2 linked regions of the Oreochromis niloticus genome follow. The protein of the gene in region 2 interacts with the protein of the main gene of each other region in a pairwise test. Links are inferred from orthologs where the notes say so. Each region holds a gene or a part of one and is shown on either strand. Other genes may lie near its edges.

Region 1 (7,837 bases), on a different chromosome or scaffold from region 2:
CGAGCATTTAAGAGCGGCGTTCCCTCCAAGCTGACAGTCTGATGTCCTGATTAAATTATTCACAGGCTGAATCTGAACACTGTGCAAATCCAGAGGGCTTCTGCCTGAGGTGTGCCATGGTTTGGCGATCTTTCATACAGGTTTACGAACGGTGCAAAAGTCTTCAGCCACAAATAGTTATGAAATAGTCCTAGTCATTTCATAGCAATAAAATGGTATTTTTCCGCCACAAGGTGATTCTTAAAGTGCTATTTCGGCATGGTGTGCAGTCTGCCCTTAAAAAAATATGAGGCAAATGGACGAATGGAGGCAGGTCTTAAAAGCTCTACTGCAGATATCTGAAAGTCATTTCCTTAAGAAATAGGCAAAATCAACCAAAGACCCGACACAGGATTTTCAGTTGATCCACCGACTGTTTGCCAAAGCCTCATCAGAAATGGTTTCAGTGGAAAGGCAGATGTCAAGAAGCTTCCTAAAGAAAGGAAACAGGGACTAAAATGTGCCAAATTACACAAAAGCTGTGATAAAAATCAGTAGAGACAGGTCTTATTGACCGATGAATCCAAATGTAACATTTTTGGTGTAACTCATTGTCAGCAGGCACAGCGGAGGCCAGGAGAAATGGGCCCACTGTGCAATACCATCTGGAAAGCTCTGCTTGGCAATTTCATTTTTGAGCATGACAATGATCCAAAACACACTATCAATGCCATAAAATTAGAAATTAGAATTGATTAGAAAAACACACATTCGTGGATTGGCCTCCCAAGAGCCCAGACTTCAACCTTCCTGAAGCAGTGTGGGATCATCTTAGTTAATGTATTTCTGTGTATGTGTGCACCTTTCAAATTGCTACACCCATTTTCCATTTTCCTACCAAAATATAAAGAAATGAGGGCCGGCTCGAGACTTTTGCACAGTTCTAACAGCAGGATCGAACAGAACAGTGAATCAAATGACATTACTGTAAAATATCAGGAAGAGCTCTGTTCATTCTCCTTATATGGGCTAATCTGTGACTTCTTTTGTTTGTTTGTTTATTTGTTTTTAATCTCCATAAATGGCATCCACAGGTGCGCCTCAACCACAGCTGGGGAAACCACTACGTTCAGGACTGATGGAGCGGTATCCCAGGACATAAAATGTAAAAGGAATTGTTCATCCTTTAAATTTTAATACATTAACATCAACAGCTTTGTCCATCAGTGGGTTATTGTAAGAATGCTAATTTAGTCAGTGTCATACAAGTGGGATGACTGAACAAGACTAATGAGCAGAAAAACACTGTGGAAAAAAGAAAAATGTGTCTGCATTTCTGTTAGCAGATTTGAATAAAGCGGCAACTAACATGGTTTCAAATGAATAGAAAAGAAAATGAAGCTATAGTTCAGTTGTTTTCACTGTCATCAACCAAACATATATATCACTGTTTATGAAATTATTCAGCAGTTTATGTCATTTACTAGAAAATGTAACATCGCTTAACAAAAGTTCAGTTTTAACCATTTAAAACTGCAAAATGTGCATTTTTCCAGGTCGAAGAGTTGCAAATATATGCTTGCCTTCTCTTTTCTCTATATCTCCAGTGTGTTTTCTAATATATTTGTACTTTTTTGCAGTTGATTTGTGTCATTTTTAATAACCCATGTTTGCTCTTAAAGGGTTGCCTTGGCATTTTGATATTTAGTCTGGTATTATTGTTTATCTGCAAAACGTCTGTATGTGGAAAATAATAAATATCAAATACACTTTGAAGCATATATCATTCTAAGAACACACAAACGTCGATGAGCAACTTGAACAAGCCAAAATTAAACAAGTTAGACATCACAGTTCATTATTTGATTTACTGTTTTAAGTGAATTAGGTTCTTTTTTTCTTTTTTTTTTAGAAAACATGTTTTTGGTATCTTTAAATCCTTAAGCACGTGTATTAGCTTTAGCATTACAGTCAATGTTCAGATGAATGTGGTCTTTCTTCGCTTAAGAATTAAAGTAAAGTTAGCTGCAGTCCTACAGAGTATCAGGATATTGGTTTTATACATTACCTACTTGCAGTGCTAACACAACTTAGCCCGTGGTAGCTTAAATCAAAGCGCTAGTTTATTTGCTAGCTTATTTGCTAGCTAGCCAGCTCATTATTAGCTAAACTCTCACTAATTTAAAGAACATTTTAACGATTTTTACTCTGTTAAAAATGATAACACCACAATATTTAGGATGTCTCTGGTTTTATACAATAATACAAATTGTTATTTCGCTTTATTATCTAAAACAGTGTTTGTCTTTGGTACTATCTACAGCAGCAGTCCCCAACCTTTTTTTGGGCCGCGGACGGTTGTTTGACAATATTTTCACGGACCGGTCTTTAAGGTGTCACAGATAAATACAACAAAATAAAACCAGTGCCGGTACCAAAAAAAAAGAAGCTTTATTCATAACACACGCAACAAGACCCAGGGAAACTGAGTTAACGATAATAAACGATAAAAACCCTGAAAACCATACATTTCACACCCGAGCCTCAACTCTCGCGGCCGGGTAACAAACAACTCCGCTCCGTGGCCCGGGGGATGGGAACTGCTGATTTACAGCATCTTTGAGTGACACAGGCTCGAATCAGACCTGAGGACTCAAATCCATGTTTCTTCCATCTGTTCTTCTGTCATTCCACACAGTGTGGTGGCTGTAGCCTATCCCATTTGCAATAGGGCAAGAGGAGAGGTACACCCTGGACAGGGCTAATTCAATTTCTTTACACCCACTGGAGCTCAGTGTAAGTTAACAGAAGTCAGCGTTCCTTGTTTGATGACTCTTCAGACTGATGGACGTTGCTGACAGGGATTTGAACGCACTGCGCCCCATTTAATCAATACTATAAAGACTAAAACCCAGAATACTGAATCGCTCTTTTTGAAAAAGCCTGAAGAGTCGTGTTGGCTGATTTTATGGTATTGTAATTTTGTTAGATCCTGTAAATCTGTGGTGACTTTTGTTTTTGCCTGTCAGTTTACTCTGCTTTTGGACTGTGTGTGATTCTCCTCTTCTGTACATATGTTTCATATGTAACACTGTTATTGTTACAATCTCACAAAGAAACTTACGATAAAACTGCTGAAGAAGCATCGCTTGACTCTGAACCTTTTTCGTATCACTGCCCTTGAATTGGTTGCTTTAAAAACAGTGATCAGATATGCAAACACTCGCAGTCAGCTGCAACCTTAGGTGCATCAAGACCATGATGAAAAGGCAATAAGATAGAGTCAGTCTCTTATCAGTCTATTTTCAGTAATAATTTGATGAACTCTCAGCGAGTCCAGTCAGACCTTCATTTTTGAGACCTAAGTTCAAAAATTCATCTGCAAAAAGTGACGTAGTTGCTGCAAGACAGATATTTAAATGCAAAATGACAGGAGTGCTTGGCAGCCATGCTTTTGCACACAAATATAACCAGAATACAACCATGTTAGCTGAGCTGCATCACAGGCAGTTTACAGTCATCAGTCCAAACTGACTCCGACTGATTGCAAAGTGCTGCCAGTCTGTTTCCTTTGCAAGGAAGTTGTCGTCCTATTACTTTGTAGAGTTTAGCTTATGTGCCTGTGCCAACAGCATGGTGTGTTCAGTATTCAGTGTTTCCCTCGCACGCAGAACTCAGAATTTCCCGTCTGTTTATCCGTTCTCTTGCTCTTTGTCCTGTATCTTATTTCACCCTTCATGTATGACCCTGTTTCTGCCGCACTCTCATTCTATTTCTGTCTTAATCTCACTATAGATTATCCCTGTAAGTCACTCTATGGTCCTCTCATATGTCACTGTCAGCACTTCTTCATTTACCTGTCTGTAGTCTGTCTGCATCTTTCCCTTCTTTTTCTCTCCCTCTCTTAACATGTGGCCTGTTGCAGTTCCTTGTTTTTGCCTACAAAGTATAATTCTCAAGAAGGTCATATGTCCATAAATAGATGTAGCAGATGAGTGCTGCTGAGTGTTGAGAGAATGAGAGGTTTATAGAGGAAAAACATGAGGTTTTAACTGATCCTTAACACTGAATCTGCAGGCCTCTGTATTAAAATCTGTACATTTATCCATGCCATGCCTTGCTGTTAAATGTAACAAACGTCTTTAAGCATAAAAAGGCATGTGCCCTGACTTTAAAACATAGTTATTATAGTTATGTTTTCGGTTTCCAGGCAAAACTATTTTGGAGTGGATGACGTGGTTTGGCATGTCAGCTTTCAAGAGACAGTCCTCAGAAACAACAGGCAGTAATGAGTAAGTCTGAGTCTAAATATATATTGTATATTACATTAGATTAGATTCATTAGATATTAGTGGAACATTTAATGAGAACACCTTGGTTGCTGTCCTAGGTTCTGAAATCTCTCATTTTAATGTGTTATTATATTAGATAGATATATAGATACTTTATTGATCCCATGGGGGAAATTATTGTTACAACCTTGTGATAAAGAATAAAAATAGTACCGTGTACAATAAACATCAAATAAACAACACATGAGGAGCCAAAGTTCTTTGCAACAGATTTCAGTAGTTAGTTAAAGATAAGTATTGTGTTTGTGAATGCACATTGTAAAAACAAGTGAGGAAAAAGAGCAAGGTGGAATAGTTGAAATGTGGCTTGATAAATATGGAGAGGGATAAATTTGCTGTTTTCCCGGAGGGACTGGTTGGCCGTGCTGTTGGGAAAATATATTTTTTCATTTGTTCTTAGAGCTCAAATATGGTACACCACAGGATAAACACAGTGGTCATTTTTATTTTGATATATTTCCTGCTATATCAAATGGCATTCCTATTTATTACCCGTGGAGAGCAGCAACAGGCTCGGATGAGAGTAAGCAGCCTCAGTTTTCAGTAGAGGAAGAAAGCGGAGACGTCACATGGAGAGATACAACAGCAGTAGCTGCTACACCACTAATCACACAACATTAACATAACTAGCTACTAAAAGCTAACCTGGCTAGCTAATTGCTTCGTCTTCTTCATGAAGTCGGATTTGCAAATTTGCAAGAAACAAATTTCATAGACGGTGCAAAGCGGAAAACAATATTACGGTCACACACAGCTACTGTGGCCTCTTCTTGCATCCAGTAGGCAGGGTATTTAGGCTAGCTAGCGACTCTGCCTTGGCTAGCGTCAGGCTAGCCAGCTAGCTAGCTAGCTACTAACATCGCTATCGGTAGTTAGCTAGCTAGCGAGCTGTAGTAACTTACGTCATGGAGGAACTAGTCGTGGAAGTAAGAGGGACAAGTGGGGCTTTTTATAAGGTAAGTTGTTGACTTTTGTCGAGTTTTGTGACCACCGTTCACACACTATGTACCAAGTAAGCCTAACTAACATGAATTTGTGTCACGGGGCTAGCTTAGTGTTATATGTGGGCCTCGGTGCTTCTGCTCAACGTCTACCGGGACCTGAAACGTGTAAACAAAGCTAACGCTGCGGTGGGGCTCTAACATCAGCGGTAGTGGATAAATTGGTGAACTATTGGTGATCATGACGCTTAACCAGGGTAGCTGTTTAAGCGGTATCGGTAACGCTGATGTGACTGCTATACGATGGTACCCCTAAAGTGATGTGCAAGGATTGGTTGCAGACTCACAAACATCAGAATCAATCATGGGTTGGCTGTTTTTTGTTTTTTGCTTTGGTCAAAGTAAGTTAATTCAGAGTAGCACACAGGGGTGATGGTTTGGCTAACCTTTATTGTGCCCGTAGCTGCCAGGTGTTTTCTTGTTTTGTCAAGACTGCAGAGATTTTGGGGTCAGTCAACAAGTAGATCATAAATCCGATCCCGTGACCTGCGTGTATCACTGGGGTGGGGTGGGGGAGATAACATAAGCAGTACAATGGGATAACACGCTAATTAGCAATAATTACTTACATTTGAATATTGGTCAATTCAAGGACACAAGAATAAAATGACTTATGGTGAAGGATCTAAATAAAATGATACATTTATTATTTATTTATTGTACAGCTGTCAGGTTTGTTGTGGGATAAATATAGGATGACATGTATCGCAAGTAAAGTTCTGACAGATGTCTTTTTAAAACTAATAGTTTTGTTGTGGCCACATTAATGCGAGGTACATGAATGCTGTGAGTATGCTGTATAATCAGGGTAATTAGTAATTGAAATTAATCTTGATTCAGGCCACAGACCCTCATTAAGCTCAGCGGTTGCCATGTAAATCATAGACTTCTCATGCTGTGTTCAATACTTGTATACTTTCCCAAATCAAGAGGCTTTTCCTTTGAATGTAGGAAAGTTGAAGTTGGCACTGTCAGTTGTACTTTGGCTTTTAGCTAGGTGTGGCACGAGACAGAAACCATTCTTTTAATAGTTGTAATCATATTGTTAGCAAGTACAGAACCATATAAATGGGTGGGTGTGTCCGAATATTTGAATGGTGCTGTAGCTTGAATGATAAGTTTTACTGTCAAACAGCAATGAGAAAAGTTAGGCTAATTATTGTTAGATGGTAGTCTGGTTTGAAAAAATCCAGTCCCACCAGGTAACTCTTAAGAGTACTTTTATTAGCCATACATCTATCATAACCTACATGTATACCACTGTTATATTTAATGTATTTTACTATGTAGATCGATCTAATAAGATGACGTAGGTGTGACTCCTTACAAGTATAAGCAGATACACGACAAGAGGGCGACTTTGGCAGAGGTCTTTCTGTTCATCAGAAAATGCCCAGTGTATTCACAGAGGCTTATTCAGAGTGTTTAAAACTTAGGCAGTTTGTTTTTCTCTTGGCCCAGTATGATGTCACTGAGAGCAAATATCCCTAATATTGTCATCTTAGGTACACAGTTCTGACTGAAACCCCACCCACCTGCTGTTCACACCTTCTGTTTGCCAGGGGCTGGCTGGCAGACAGTTGGCCTAATATGAGTGGAGCTAAAACAGTTTTAAGATGAATTGAGCTGCACCAGCAAGAGATAAATGTGGATTATTTTCAATTGTGAATCATGCAAAGCTAGTGTAGTAGACTGTAGTCGAGTAAAAGGAATAGTGTAATAGGTCCACTTTAAAGGAGACTTATTTACAGAGCAGTTACCTTTGCTAGATGGCAGCATACCTCCAACACAGGGAGTTGGATCTTACTGCAGATCACTTGCATGATTTCAATGTTAATAAGCATTCAAATTTTGGTTAATGAATCAAGAGTTTTGAACGTAATCATTTTAGTTAGTTGTTGTGATGATGTTGATTGACTAAATGTGTAGTTGGCAAATAATTTTTTATAGTGTTTTTAATAATAGTTGAACTGGAAAATGACACCCTTGTCTCTGGCATTATAGCAGAATTTAAAATATGCTCTTGGCTGAAATGAACATATTAAAAATAATGAGTGCATTCATCTGCCAAGTGAGAATAATACTATAGAAATAATTGTAGAAAATGGTTCTGCCATAAATCACTTGAGTGAGAAACTTAATTTTGCTGTTTTTAAATTGCACCTTATGCAGTATAGAAGTCATTGCTCTTTTTTATTGTAATCTCAACAGCAGTACAACAATTGCAGTTTACTGCCAGTAGACTAAACTACATTATCTCCTAATGCACCCTCTGCCTTACCCTCATATTTTGTGTTTTGGTATTTTTCCGGTTTTAACAAGATTAATGTTCTTGCTAAAGTCTGAACTTGGTTCCTGAACTAGACAGTCAGTCAGTCACAATCCTAAACACGCTCACAGGTCAGTGAGGTCCTGTCAGAATTGGTTTATTTGTTTTTTTAACCTTGGGAGTTTTGAGAAGCTCTCTTTCTTGCTTCCTTCTTGCTTCATTTCATCCACCACTGA
Region 2 (7,541 bases):
CTTTACGGTCCTATCAAAATAAAGGCTAAAAATTCCCTTAAAAAAAATAATGTTCTTTCACCTACATCACAGAGTTTGAGAACCACATTAGACATAGTGATGCAACAGGTCAGTCTATTCATGAGTGCTGTGTGTGGCTCAGCAATAACAAATGAACCAGTTAAGAGTGAAAAAGACCTTTATGTGATCACTAAAGGACATATAGGTCAGTGCTGTGCAAAAGTCTAGAGCCACCTCTCATTTATTTATATTTTGCTTCCAAGGAGTCAGACTTAGAGAACACCTAACAATGACACATGAATTACTGAAGCATGGACCAGTGTTTACACAGAAGAGACAACTTAGTAAAAAACATTTTATTCATTGTGCTATTAGCTGAAGACTTAGCAGCAGCTCAGCATCATGTACAGTGTGTCCTTAAAAGACTGGGTAAGTGGAGGACAAAAGAAGTGGCAGGTCTAAAATCTGTCGACAGCAGGTAAACAGCATGTGGAAGTCATGTCTTTAAGAAACAGGAATACATCCAGGAAAGTCCTGACACAGGACCTGAGAGATCCTTGTGATGTTTTAGTTGATCCATCTACTGGTCAACGAAGTAAAGAAGCAATTCTTAAGAAAGGGAAACAAGAAGAAAAGGCTGAGGTGTGCCAAATTACATAAGAACTAGACTGACAAATCACTGACAACAGATCTTATGGAGTGATGAACCCAAATTTGACATTTTTGGTTCAAATCACTGTCGGTGAGTGTTTACAGTCATCTGTAAAACACGGTGGAGGCTCCGTCATGGTTCGGGGCTACGTTTCATTCAGGGGTGGTGTTAAAAATAATGGAATTATGAACACAGAAAAGTACCATCACATTTTGGTCCATGTTATCAAGAAAGCGCCTAGTTGGCAACGCCTTCCTTTTTCATCATAACAATGATCCCAAACACACTGCGAGTGCAGTAAAAGTATACCTGGATAGAGAACCATAATAAAACACCATCAGTCACAGACTGGCCTCCCCGGAGCCTGGACCTGAACTTTACTGAAGCAGTGCGGGATCAGCTTGACAGAGAACAGAACAAAAGGCAGCCAACATCCAAAGAAAAGTTTTCAATGTCCTTCAAGAAGCCTGGAGAACTATTCCTGAAGGCTACTTAAAAAAACTACGAGAGTGTTCAGGCTGTGTTGATTAAACTTTGTACAATTCTAACAAGCTTGAAAGTCAATTTTGCCTCACATACTGTATTTTTAGATATGTTTATATGTTTTGATAAATCACAAATGCGGGGGGGGTGCTGGAGCCTATCCCAGCTGTCATAGGGCGGGACAGGTGTCAGTGGACAGGTCGCCACTCTAACACACAGAGACAGACAACCATTCGCGCTCACATTCACTCCTGCATTCACACCTATGGGCAATTTAGATTAATCAATTAACCTATCCCACGCAAGGAAACCCACGCAAACATGGGGAGAACATGTAAACTCCACACAGAAAGACCCCGGGCTGATGGTGGAATTGAACTCAGGACCTTCTTGCTGTGCGGCAACAGTGCTAACCTGCCTGTTTTGATAAATCACTGCACCTATTTCACATTTTCCTAGCAAAATATAAAGAAATGAGGGGTTGGCTCAAGACTTTTGCACAGTATAGTAAAAAAACACTTTAAAGCATTTTTTCCACTGTCAAAGAACACTTTACATTAAACATGTACCATAATCCTCCCTTTTCATTTTCATCAAAATCTTAACTTTCTGATATCAACACTAAGTGCATCCCCTGCATGTTATCGTGTACAACATTCTAACAACGTGTGTATTTACAAGGATGTCCATCTTGTAAAGGCAGGCCAGCTCTCTCATGTCCCTGAAAGGCTGCAGCAGGTACTGGAAGAAAGTTGTGGCGACAGTCGCCAGGTCCTGGTAGGCCTCGTCTTCTTCCTCATAGATGCTGAGCAGCACGACCATCCTGTCAGCACCGCTGTGACTTTGTAGCAGCTGTGAAGATGAAAAAACATAAACACCATGATCCGGGTTTACCCTGAGCCCACAGCTTAGTTTTGCTCTGTATGACTTTTCATACTCAGAATGAACCAATCCAATCCGTGCCGGCTAACATAAGAGTCGATAACTAGGCCTTTCAGAATACAACTTGGGTGGGCTGAAGGTAGACTTGTGAAGACACTTCAAGATGAGGTTGGTGGTTGAACACCACAGGGATTCTTGGACCCGGTTCTCCGATGTTGACCACTGAAGTCAAACAAATTCAGGTCTTAAAAAACATTTTATGTGAGAGTGATGAAAATAGTGATGAAATATTTGGAACTGAGACGTCTTTTTGGTTAAGAAAATGTTAAATCGCTTGGATTCAAAATATGTAAATAGTTGGAAAATCAAGAGTTATCTATGCCCTGACATCTTCCAGCATACAAAGGGAACATGTTTGCTTTAGATATCAAAAACAATCAACACAGCAACACAAGCCTGCATCTGAGACAGCATAAGCAAAAGCTGGATATGATTTCATAAAGGTATCATATACAGCAGATCCGTAACAGTGGTTTATGTAGACATAATACCGACACTGAGTACAGATTCTGATACATTTAATCTACTTGTAGCGGTGCCATCAACAGTTTTTCTTACAGGTCCACTTGCTCATTGTTTCTGTTACCAATTCTTGATCAGAACCTTACATCTGTGTAAGGAAACAAACCAGCACAACAAGCACATTTTCAGCTCAGCGAGCTACATCATGATGCCTGTGGAAACAGGTACAGTGTGGGCATGTAAAAACTCAACTACCATAACTCAGACCACATTATTTTGATAAAAGGACATGATAAGCTTGGAGGCATGCATTCCAGCGATCTCCAGTGGATCTCAAATGGAACTAGATTTCTGCTTCAATGTCCAGCTGACGTATTTTGCTCTTCAAATGCCTCATTGGTCTATTGGCTGTCATTTTACTGCTTTTACTTCCATTTGCATGTGAAACAAACTAAACAGAGCTAAAGGGTCAGGTTGCAGGTTAAAGCAGCAAACAAGAGCAAACAAAGACCAGTGCTGGTGTTGTTGCAACATCTAGAGCCTTGGCTGGAACAGCAGCTGTGGTTTGCTGTGTCATGGTAGACCTGATTTAGGCCCACACCACAACTGAGAGGTGCTAATATGGCAGACTAGACCTTTAAACTTCTTGGGATTAGAGAGCATGCAGTCTTTTCTCATACTTCAGGGAATCATGTTTTTAAGTGCATCTAAGGTGTTGTAAGACTTCTCCTATCAGAGGTGGGGCACCAAGCAGATACAGGGCCAGTGTTGCCGATACCAATGCCAATACTTTTACCCTATAAAATGTAGATTACAAAGGGGAGAGCAGTGTGCCATGATTACTGATTGATTCATCATTAATTTACACATTCTGAACACATTTTAATGACCACTAAATCACTGTGATTTCTGCTTTCCACATTAATTAGTTAACACAACGTGTTTGGAAACTGATTTTCTGGAGACCTGGAATGTAAATGTGCCTGCCTCTAAAACACATTTATTTAACACAATCCAGTAGGCAACATACTGCACTTAGGGAACAGAAAAAGTCTCAGGCCTATCGCGCTGGTATCGATATTAGATCAATCCGCCCACCTCTACGCCTCACCTGTCTCAGGTGACCCTTGGCCCTTGACATCTCCTCCTGCAAGCTCTTCTTTTTGAACTCCTGTAAATTCTCAAAGTACTCCTCAACATCTCGGTCATCCTGTGCGAACAAGGTGTCGAGAACAATCTTCCGTCCGCAGAGGTCAATAGCGGTGCTGAAATACTTCTCGAGTTTCCTACACGGGGTGTCATAGTCCCTCTCGTCGTCATTGTCTGGACCTGATCTCCTACTCAGGAAAAGCAAGTCCCAAATGTTACCCTCTTCAAACTCCGTCAAATCCGGGAAGCAGCCTCCCAGGACGTCGGCCACGCAGGTGAACTGCTGGTGGACGTGCTTCAGATCGCTGACGGAGAAGAGTCCTGCCCAGCTCATCTGAGGGTCGTCGGCGGCAGGCTCGGATTTGCGCTTCTGCCGCTGTAACGTCCGGTTGTGGCAGGTGACGGCGAACTTGCACTCGATGACGTTCCACTGTACGATGAAGCCCAGTTTAAACGCCTCATCTTCCTCAAATATGTTGCTTTTAACGGCCACCCACCCCTCCAGACTGTCTAGTCGCTCACACTCTATGCTGTTCATCTTAAAAAGAGATGTTTCACTCTGGCCCCCGAGAAGCTGCTGGCTCTGTTTACAACGTCCGCCATTTGTCTGACGTCAGTTGCGTTCAACAGCCCCGGAAGTTATCGGTCAATATGAGCTAACGGTTTTACTAACACAGATATCTACCCTTTAAAGAATACGCTGTTTTGACATAGAATGGTAACCACGAAAAACCCAGCCTGGGTCACTAAGAGCAGGCGGGTCCCAATGCAGAAATTTCTAATCCAATGCGTTTGATGCGTCTTGAATTAAAGTTTACGAGGAACCTTGAATGCACCATAAGTCTCTGGTACTGCCTTTAACTTTGACCTTTTAATCACATGTTCGGGGATTTCCAACTCCTGAAAATTAAAGCATTTTACTTTTAGTTGTTGTTCCTTTACAATGTCAGCAAATCTCAGACCTCTGCGGACTTTCAATCACGTTTAATGAATCTATTTCATGAATAACGAACTTCCGGCGTAGATGTTTGGCATGCCTGTGAAATGTGAGCAAACACAGTCCCATCTATTTCTGTCACTGCTGTCCTGCCGGATACTGCTGCTGGCCTGAAAAGGTTGTTTAAGAACCAAACAGCTCCCTTAATTTTCCAGGTAAATTTGTTATCAGCTGCTTGCTCACTATAACAGTTCTGCTTTGTTAAATTCTCCTCCGATGCAGTTTCAGAACATTAACGGGTACTTAAGCCTCAGTCCTCCCCTGAGTCCTTGTCATCATGGACTTGTATGAGATCAGAGGAGGCAGGCTGGGTGTGATTGCAGAGGAAGCCGAGCTCCAGGAGTTAAGCAGAGAGTCTACTGCTATGGAGACCTACAATGTAGGCTCAACTCCATCTCCCACTGGAGCAGAAGATGGAAGTGATGGTGAGGAGGATGCTTTTAAGGAGGGAGAAACTGAGGTGAGGACACTAACTAACTACCTCTATTCAGCCACAGTCGTCTCACTGCATTTAATCACTTCTCTGAGAGAACGCCAGTGTGAATGGTAGCACAATACAGAAGAGTAAAATGAATAGCCGAGTGAGGGGAACATCTGATTAAGATACACTCATAGTAAACAGCAACATAAACTCTTAACTGTTAGCCCTCATCGTAGTCTGTGTTGCAGGTTTGAATTAAATGCGGAAAGAGCTCAAGCTTGTGTTATGACTGCTTTCAGGGGGAGATCATCTTGATTCGCGATCAGCTGCAAGAGAAGGTTGCAGAGATGGAGAGCTTTGCTGGTCATCTGGAAGAGATCTTCCTTACAGTGGAGGTACTACTCAAACGTCCAGTCTGATCTCCTTTGTTTTGACATAATTTTACTGTTTTATTATAATATGAATATGCAGAGATGCTTTTTTTTCTTTTTTTACTCATAGACAGTAATAAAGTCATCACAAGCCAATTTTATTACATCAAATTCTTCATTTTTCTTTGTTCTTTCCTGTACAACAAATGTGTTACCCTCTAACTCTGTCATATTATTGCACGTACAGGAGAATTTTGGCCGTCAAGAGCAGCACTTGGAACAGCACTACAATGATGTGCTGCAGACGCTGTCTCAGCGACAGGATGAGAGCGCGGCAAGGTTGGAGGAGGAGAAGAAGAGTAAGCTGGAAGCCTTGTACGGTCAGCTGCTGGCCTGCGGTCGGGCACTCGATGCCTCCAAGGAGCTCATCGAGACAGCGCAGGAGGTCTACCGCAGCCAGGACAAGAGGCTTTTCTTGAAGGTGATAAATGATTCCACTGGATCATATTTGCAGATGGCCCCAAAAATAAATAAATAAATAAAACATGGCCAGCTAATGCAATTGTGGACATGAAGCATTGATTAGCATTTATTCATTCATTTATTTTGCTATTGAAGTGATTTCTTTGGATTTTATTGACAGACAGTTATGCCCACAATTAAAAGGTAAGCATGAGGCTGCACAGTGAGTCTGCACGGTGTGACACTGCAGGTGTGATATTAAGAGACCGAGCATCAATAACATGTGCGATTTGTCTTCCCTTTAGTTTCAAACTAATTTTATTTAACTCTATATATTTTAAAATCCCAGCTGAAGATCCACTTACTAAACTTAGCACAAAAAGTAAGGAAATTTGTATTTGGTCAACAATTCTTTTTTTTGTAAGGTTGCTTCCTGCCAATAAATCTTATACGTCGGAAAGCCTGTTTATTTCCCCTTAAATGTAGCCACATTTATTAGGGAAAATGCATTTGTGGGCTGAGCAGCAGAGTTGAGTATGTGGGTTGCGCCTTTGAAACACTTGCCAAATTTCCTCTGCCAATACCAGTCAGCTTATTCTGCCACTGACTCTTGTTTGGTGTAGTTTATTGCACTGGATGATTAAAGTCTGAAGAAACAATTTATTCATTTAACAAACAGGGCCCTGAGTAGCACGTGGAAGATCCACACACAGCCACAACAGCCTGGCACCTCCTCCTCATGCTGGTCACCAGCTTGGTCACACACTGCTGTGGGATGGCATCTCAATATGGTTGTGTTGGCTGACTTGCGACAAATGCTGTTAAACTGACAATATGTCTTATTTCTTCAGACTTCAATCATTCATGTTCATTCATGGGCACAACCCACAGACCCAAACTCCATCCACTGTACAAAACATGCTTGCATGCTTGATGAAAAGCACGTAAAGTATTTATTTTATGGTCAAACTTTGAACATTGTAAGTAATCATTAGCCTGATAACGCACTGCACGCTTTTTAAAATCAGGGCTTTTTTTTTGTTCTGTACCACACTAGAATCGAGGAGTTTGCCAAAGATGAGGTTGACCTCACGCTGTCTACAAGTCTTGAATTCAACACACCGCTCGCTGACCTGTCAGATGTCAAAACCATGATGGACTCGATCAACGTCGTTCCAGGTCTGAATCTACAAATCGCCTCCTCTGGTTCACTTTCCGCCACCTCCTCTGTCACTTGAAAAATACAAATCTAGGAACACGCCGTCTCTTGCGTCACTGAAAATGAGAATCCTAATAATAGGAAGCACACAGAGGTGTCAGTGTTGAGCTTCAACCAGAACAGAGCTGTCTTAACATTTAGATTTTTGTACTCTAAAAAGACTTCTTGATAACTGTGCTGAATTTACAGTGAATCTCTGTCAAACAACCCCCAGCTCCATCTGCCCCAGTAATCAATCCCCAGATGCCCAACTCTGCCACTCAGACATCCCTGCGTGTGTGCTGGAGCTTGTTCTCTGATGACACGGTGGAGTACTACGAGCTTTACTACAGGCCGGTGCTGGAGGACACACCAGCAGACAGTGCCTTCACACCGCAGGGTAT

What was found.
Region 1: the proteins of fsd2 (region 2) and fmr1 interact in binary tests that used the Homo sapiens proteins (3 or more experiments, as listed by UniProt). The link is inferred for Oreochromis niloticus from reciprocal best matches to the Homo sapiens genes FSD2 and FMR1.

The regions. Positions count from the first base shown.
Region 1 is NC_031966.2:33,307,450-33,315,286, reverse strand, and holds the start of fmr1 (fragile X messenger ribonucleoprotein 1), read left to right. Parts: upstream 1-4,836; 5' UTR 4,837-5,236; coding exon 5,237-5,287; intron 5,288-7,837. Other genes in the region: rab33a (ras-related protein Rab-33A), read left to right, coding at 1,074-1,141.
Region 2 is NC_031965.2:13,696,074-13,703,614, reverse strand, and holds the start of fsd2 (fibronectin type III and SPRY domain-containing protein 2), read left to right. Parts: upstream 1-4,533; 5' UTR 4,534-4,840; intron 4,841-4,907; exon of another isoform or gene 4,908-4,933; 5' UTR 4,934-4,962; coding exon 4,963-5,145; intron 5,146-5,405; coding exon 5,406-5,501; intron 5,502-5,724; coding exon 5,725-5,958; intron 5,959-6,120; coding exon 6,121-6,143; intron 6,144-6,996; coding exon 6,997-7,118; intron 7,119-7,372; coding exon 7,373-7,537; intron 7,538-7,541. Other genes in the region: whamm (WASP homolog-associated protein with actin, membranes and microtubules), read right to left, coding at 1,814-1,987, 2,030-2,042, 2,103-2,239, 3,651-4,226.